2 linked regions of the Arabidopsis thaliana genome follow. The protein of the gene in region 2 purifies or fractionates together with the protein of the main gene of each other region. This does not show direct contact. Each region holds a gene or a part of one and is shown on either strand. Other genes may lie near its edges.

Region 1 (3,979 bases), on a different chromosome or scaffold from region 2:
ACCCTCGTAAACAAAACTTTTGGCTGCACCACTAGGATGTATGTGTGCCAATAGATGTCACATGATTTTTCAAGACGAGTATCATCGTTGAAGAAATTTTTGGAAAAAGTTTTGAATATACCAATGGTTACTACGATGATTATTTTTAAGAAAATCAATGAATAAATTTGTTAAGTATGTTGTTTTGTTCACATTAATCTCTCTGTATTAGGATAAATTATTATTTACACACCGTTGTCCAGTGGCGGAGCTAACTCATAACCAAGGGGGTCAGTTGACCCCATAACATTTTAAAATTCTTATTTACATGCTTATTTAATTGGTATATAATGGTATATTTTGGCTTGATTCATCTCAGCTGACCCCTATGACTCATGTTAAACTAATATTTGACCACCATAATAAACTTTTCTGGCTCCGCCACTGCCGTTGTTTATGGACAAAATTAAAACGTGAAGTTGAAATTATGAATTCGTAACATTCATTTTTTTAACATCTACGTATATTACTTTCAAACAAAAGATACAAACATAATACAAACCATCAAAACACAAAATAATAACAAAGAATGATAAAATAGTAAAAGTTATGCTTACGTGTGAAAAATTTTACTCGCTAAAGAATTAAGAAATCCATTACTTTCCTTCGTAATTGGGCAATGGGCTGCACCATGTTTTCAGTTGTTGGACATCTGAACCAATCTTGTGATATAACTTCGAAGTCCCAAGGTCCAAGTATTTACAACTTAAATTAGTAGATCTCTATACACTCAAGTCTCAAGATGTTCTCTACACTATAATTAAGGACTTGCATTAGAATTTTGTTCGTTCGAGTTGTAATCAAGCTGTTGATCGGCTTGCTAAGAGGGTTTTTTCCTCTTCTCTAATTGTTTTAGAAATATAAATACTTCTAGATTGGTTGACGATATAAAATATATCTTTGATAAGAAAATAAAAATAGTAAATGTCCGATAGAAAAAATTTGAAAAAGTAAGTTAGTAAAATGTCCACATCAATATACATGATAGTCATCGAAACTTAAAAACTACAAAAAATTTGGACTATATAATAAGAAATGCCCGGTAATCTCAAATGATATTTATCCTTTTTTTTCAACAACAAACTTATATTTATACTATTTAACGAAAATAATAAAATTGACATCGATATTTCATCATTTATCTCTCTAATATAGTACAATTACTTAAATTAGTGTGCACCACGCATGATCGTTATTTCGTGCACGAATGAAATACTTGATATAGTTGTGGTTATATATGTTTTATTAAATTATAAGGAAGCAACATAGTCAGACTGTAAGACTTGTGAAATTACATGTGGATACAAAATTGATTAAAGAAAGACAAAATCTTGAGGAAATTCTCCATCAGCTCGATCGTGAATTGAAGATCTTCAAACTTGTTCTTTCAATGTTTTGCTTCTCTTATCCAATTGAAACTCCAAAATTAAGTGTGATACCATTTACCAAATCTGACACTTTAGTTCTTTAGTTCGTAATCTCAAATCTACTTCAGCTCGTAATCCCACTCAATCTTGATTTGTAATCTCAATCAAAATTAACAAAAGTTTTGTTATCTTTTTTTTTTTTGATCAAAATTAGTTTTCTTATCATGCATTTAAAATATGAATTTTTTAAGCTATTTCAGTATTTCTCTTAGTTACAACTTAATAAGGTTGTATCTAAAATTAATATTGATTTGTTTTATAGTATTTAACTATAGTAAAACAGCAAAGTCACTTGTAGTGTCTCCTAATTCTACACCCCAATCTAGAAATAAGACTTATGCGCAAGTTAGCGCAAGCCATCAAACATAGTCAAGCCGCCCCAACCTATTAAAATGATTAAAGCATATTAACATTCATCATCTAGATAACTTCAAAAATGCAAATACTAATTAAAAAATAAAATAATCAAACTAATACGTAACCATTTACCTCTATATAAAATCCATAGTAATATTATCAATAGATCACACATACATAAAAGTAGTAGAACTAAAAAATGGCAAACCTCTTGGTCTCTACTTTCATATTTTCCGCACTTTTGCTCATCTCCACCGCAACAGCCGCCACATTCGAAATCCTAAACCAATGTAGTTACACCGTGTGGGCTGCCGCAAGCCCTGGAGGTGGCCGACGTCTAGATGCTGGCCAATCATGGAGGCTAGATGTCGCGGCGGGCACTAAAATGGCACGGATTTGGGGTAGGACCAATTGTAACTTTGACTCCTCAGGTCGTGGCCGATGCCAAACTGGTGACTGCAGTGGTGGACTCCAATGTACTGGCTGGGGACAGCCACCAAACACGTTGGCTGAGTACGCTTTGAACCAATTCAACAACTTAGACTTCTACGATATCTCACTTGTCGATGGATTTAACATACCTATGGAGTTTAGGTAAGAATATCACCATTATCGTTTCACAAGTTCTACTTAGTTTTTGCTTTATTCATAAATTCGAACTCCTAAACGTAAAAATCTCTTGACATTTAACATAATATACAAGCGTTAAAATCATTTTTTCTACTATGCAAGAAAAAAAAAGATAATAAAAAAAGAGAACAATTATATTTCATACTTCTAAACGTTTTAGGTTCTTACACGACTCGATAATGATTTGTCTTTCTTATTTTGGCGTGCTATCTCCAGCCCAACTAGTTCGAACTGCCATCGGATACTATGTACCGCAGACATAAACGGACAATGTCCAAACGTGTTGAGAGCCCCAGGTGGATGCAACAACCCGTGTACTGTATTTCAGACGAACCAATACTGTTGTACGAACGGTCAGGGATCATGTAGCGATACTGAGTACTCAAGATTCTTTAAGCAGAGATGCCCTGACGCTTACAGCTATCCACAAGATGACCCGACTAGCACTTTCACTTGCACCAACACTAACTACAGGGTCGTGTTTTGTCCAAGGTCTAGGCTCGGTGCTACTGGATCCCACCAGCTCCCGATCAAGATGGTCACCGAGGAGAATTAATAGACTCGTATCTACTGTATGTGTGTGTGTGTGAGGGTGTACGTAGATATGCGTACGTGTGACGTGATCATATATACGTTACCATAAACACTTAATGGATTATAATAAGGCATGCAATAATAATTACGTTAGTCGACCCACGTATAAGTTGGACTTATTTTTCTCTTTCCGATCAATTAATGTAAAAATAACAATTTCGCTTCGATACAATGAAGATCATTCTTGTATTTTTTACTATATGCTTGAAATAAATATGCTATATATTATTTAGAAAATTAAAATATTCTTTCTCCCAAATAACATTTTCACATTGAAAAATATAATTTTTTTCATTTTTGTGATTGATAATTTTCCGAAAATCAAGTTTAGAAAAAAGAAAATTATGATTTTGGATTACGTATACTACAAAGAAAACTTTATGTTCCAGTATAGTAGTATTTGGCAAATATCTTAAAGAAAACATCTTAATTTTTGTTTGCAAGATTTTACATTGGAATCTACTGAGCTCATTTATTGTTCTTGTGTTGGTTTGAGTTTGCGAATATACAGAAGAAACACAAAATCTAGTAGATCACTAACTTTTTCAAGTCAAAATTTCTATAATTAATTATTGATAAAGTTGGATAAACTGACTAATAAACAATATTATATCCTTAGACAATTCAATGTCTAATTGCGTGTGTAAAATCATGTAGACCGATTCGTGGCTGCTTTCGGGAGAATTACGTTTAGTGAAACTAAATATTTTAGCATCAGGAATTTGACTTTTAGGTGTAGTTGAGTTTAACATTAATATTGATCGGTCTCCAATGAATCAATTAAAGATTGGACGTAAAAGTATATACCACAGAATATACAATTCCTTTAGTAGACCTAAAATTTTACATATGAAAAGTTCCAATGTAAGATTTTGTTTACTTAAATCAGCAATTTTGTTTTCTTTTATCATCAGGTCCACTGTATATTTTCT
Region 2 (4,318 bases):
CGACCAAAGACAGAACAAACCAAAAAATCAATCAATCAATCAATCCCACAACATGAACGCATTTCATCACCGAATAATATACACTCTCTAAGATCTGCTGGTAACTGAAATTGAGATCAATAGAGAAACTCCGGACAAAATTAGTCTAATCGTGTTCTGGATCAAGACTATAATAGCATAAAACACACATATCGAGACGAGAGATGTGAAAAAATCGAAGATGATGAGAGATTTGGAACCTCTTTCTTGTTGTGTTCATCGACAGCGAAACGAGCGAGGCTCTCAACCTCACCACTGTTCTGATTAGCAGGGACATCGCCAACACCTCCGACTAAAGCCATCTCTTCGTTGCAGAAGCCTAAATCACTGGCGATCAGAGAGGAAATGAAGAGGGATAGAGAGAAGAAAACAATGAAGAGTAAGAAACGGCTTCTCATCATTCTCACCTTTATTTGGTTCGGTGCCCTGTATTTTTAGATATTTTTCGTTTTACTCGTCGAATTGTTGATTTTATCCTCTACAGTTAATTCGCCGTGTACCGGATTAAGGTGTCCATTTGGTTTGATGTTGGTTTTGTTGGTACAGTTTTAAGTTTAGGCTCTGATTTATGAAAATATTCTTACGATTTAAAACAAAAAAGGTTTACATTTGATTGGATGCCAATTGAATCGAATCATTTGTAAGAAAAGAGTACCGATTCGAGTTATAGATTGGTTTGATTTGGCCTCAATCGGTTAAGCTACCAACATTTTAAATAGAAATTCATACCAATCTGGATTACACATGAAAACGTTGCTGAGGATAGCGGCACGTTATACGAAACGTGTCGGCAGAGTCACACAGAAATTGTCAAACACCTTTACTTGTAATCGAAGTTTAAAACATCTATGCACCTTTCTTCGTCTTTCTCTCATCTGCTAGAGAGCCCAATTAAAAAAGGCCCATGGGAAATAAAATCGCAACATAAACAGTGAAACATCATTGGAAAGAGTTTTATTAGTCTGATATTATTGTTTTGATAATACAAAGCTGCGTATTATATTATAATAATAATACTCTCGTTACTAAATAGCAGCTTCGAGGAGGCCGTTAACGAAGGATCTTTGGTTGTAACAATCAAGATTACCACCAGGATTAACACCAAATATGTTACAATACCTCTGATAAAACCCTATACGATCGGCGACTCTCCCGTCTTGGCCACGTCCACACTCCAATCCACCGTTAATGATGTTCGTAATCACTCCATAACCCGGTAATCTCCCGGCGGCACGGTCGGCGTCTGAAGGCTGCCACTGGCCGGCTATCACGGCATGGCAAGACGGTTTGGGAGGCTGAGCAGTCATCCAGAACCAAATCGCGGCTTTGAAAGCGATCACTGCGTCGTTGGCAACAAGGTCAGGGTTGTTGAGTAAGTCAACTCCTATTGCTCTACCGCATAGACCGTAATTGTAGTTCCACGACAGTTGCATTGGTCCTCTTCCGTAGTAGCGTTTGCCAGATGCGCATGGCCACGTGGCGCTCGGTTCACAGTAGTCTGAAGCAGGATTCTGTTCTTGCTTGAAACAGTAGCCCCATGAATATGGTCCGTCTGGTGCTGTAGCCCATCCACCTGCACGACGTAACCGTCCACTTAATTAATTAGTATATAGCTATATATATAGTCACAACTCACAAACTTGACATTATTCAAAAGTGTATAATTTGGAAACTGGAATATTCGTAAGTTCCTTGATTGGTTATTTGCGTTTAGATTAATCAAGAATTTCATATTTTTAAAATAGTTTTTTAATTGTAAACGCAAACATCTAAGACCAAAACATTTTTCTTTGCGTTTGGCGTTTTTGTTTGATTTTTTTCTTTCGTTTCTAAATATGAGAAGCTATAATTTTTTCAATAAAACATATATATATATATATATATATATATATAGTATAGTAGTTCTTTGTATATATGAGCACTTGGATCCAAAACTCTTTACAGAAGAAAAAAAGAACTTCAAATTCTGATGTTTTAATAATAAACACCAAAATTTAGCAATTGTGTTTTGAAACAATCTCCGTCAAATTGTTAATGAGTTTTGGGTACCTGTAGTTTCATGGGAAGTCTGGCCGAAGAAGGCGGCGACCTCCTTCTTCCTCGTGGCGGTGTCTCCGGTGGTGCCAAAACCGGGGAAGGACTTTGCAGCGGTGATAAAGGCGTTGTAAGTGTAGAAACCTCTAGCAGGACAAGCGGCATCATTCCTATGCTTAAGCATATCATCGAACTGAGAACTTGAAATGATGCCCGAAAGATCGCCGGTGGGTCCAGGAGGAGTACCACCGGGAGTGCACTGGCTTTGGCAGCCAGGCTGCTTACAGTATGGTTCGGTGTTACCGCACCAGCCGAACTCGCTGCAGCATAGACCGTTGGGGCAGAGTGCTCCTCCAGCTTGGCGACCACATTGCTCGGCCGAGGATAATGATAGGAGAAGTGAAAAGATGAGAAAGAGAAAAAGATTAGTCTTCATTTTGTTCAATGTTCTATGGTTTTCTTTTTGTGGAGGCATGAAAGATATATATAGATCCAATTAATGAATGTTTTATCACATCAAATTCTATCTTTTTCCATAGTTTATTGTTTGTTATGTCTATGGAGTGTGGCTATGGGGAACAAACAGTATTTGGTAGGTTTGTTTTTGATTATATTTATTTTCCTTCCGTCATTGTTGCTAGGTTAGATATTGATTTGTTTTTTTGGGGGATTATCATGTTAATTCCAAGTAATGAGAACTTTCTATGTATGAAACTGTGCTAAATGTTGGTAGAAGAATACAAATTTTAGAAGACCAAAAGCATAACAAATTACACTCTTTTTGAGTTTTTTGTTCTAAAGTTACTATCGACGTAGATAGTGGGACACAAAGGTCGTAAAATTTTGGGTGGTCTGAAAACACGTTTACTCGAGTTGCGGACTAATCGATGATCTGAGCTAGTGTGCACTAATTAATCAAACACACACATATTCGGATATTCCCTATGATGTATACACAATACTTGACTATATCTAAGACAAGATCACAAGAGTTGCATGAATAGTCAAGAAAATGTATAACGTGGAGAAAATAAAAATAGACGTGTCTAAATATTTAACTATGATCAATGTTGACAAAAACAAAATTTAACTTTAATTATGAATATGAGGCGGCGGGTTCGTGATCAACTTTTTCAAAAAGCAATTGAGACATTTAGAATTCATTATAAGGTAACGTATAGCATTAGCCAGGTAATGATATAATGACTCAAGACCAAATCATACCAATATTTAATATATTCATTATTCCAACTACTCATGATGACTTTCCCTATTTCATAATGTTTTATCCAAAGTACGTGTCATGTTTACAAACTATATAAAATCCAAAACCTCGACGAAACCTGCGTGCTATTCTTATGTACTAACTATGAAAAGTAACGTTAATCATCGTTGACTGAATCTCTAATCTCCAATCTCACTGTGGGCTGCGTTGCCGTCTCTTTCGGGTAGAAATAATCGACCATGGAAAAAAATAATATTGTAATGTGAATATATTGGCAAATCCTACAAAATACATTTTAAATGTAATCTTAATTTTTGTAATTAATTACATGACAATACCATTAGAAAATTTTAATCAAAAATAGAATCTTTTAATGACATCATTAAGATTACCAAAATCATTTAACGACAATATTCATCTCTTAATTATAGGGCTTATTGGATTTAAAGACGGGTCATCAAAGATTTCCTAAACTGAAGCAAAATATACCGAATATTCAAATATCTATCTGTTACCAAATTATAAACAAATAAGTTCGTAAAACAATTTAATATTTTATATACGAAATCAATTAAAATCTTAATTACAGAAAAATTAGCATAAAAAAATATGGTACATTCGGGTCTATAGTATTTTTGCAAGACTTTTTTGGTGGATTTGAGTAAAAGTGCATTCAGGTCATATAGTACATTCTCCTATTAAATAAATATGGTGCACTCCTATGTTATTAGCTAAAATGTTTAGATTATAATTCAGAGTCATATCATAAATAAATTAATATTAATAAAATAAATGGCTTTTTGGCAAGACGGATTTGGAGGGATGGGTTTTTGAATCAACATTAATAAAAAAGTAAAATCTAATTAATCCACCGTTTTAATACGGATTAAATTTTTAATTTATTATTTTTTAAGACTACTAATATTAAATATATCAAATCATCCTAATTTAGAAAAGATTATATAAAACAAAAAATGTTACGTGGTATGTATAATGTTACTATATATAAAATTAAACTAT

What was found.
Region 1: the proteins of HCHIB (region 2) and OSM34 fractionate together in Arabidopsis thaliana (co-fractionation; one large-scale study listed by BioGRID). This does not show direct contact.

What each region holds. Positions count from the first base shown.
Region 1 is NC_003075.7:7,024,157-7,028,135, reverse strand, and holds OSM34 (osmotin 34), read left to right. Parts: upstream 1-1,911; 5' UTR 1,912-2,022; coding exon 2,023-2,417; intron 2,418-2,669; coding exon 2,670-3,009; 3' UTR 3,010-3,284; downstream 3,285-3,979.
Region 2 is NC_003074.8:3,961,437-3,965,754, forward strand, and holds HCHIB (basic chitinase), read right to left. Parts: upstream 2,549-4,318; coding exon 2,089-2,548; intron 1,723-2,088; exon of another isoform or gene 1,688-1,722; intron 1,613-1,687; coding exon 1,065-1,612; 3' UTR 700-1,064; downstream 1-699. Other genes in the region: CYSB (cystatin B), read right to left, coding at 240-440.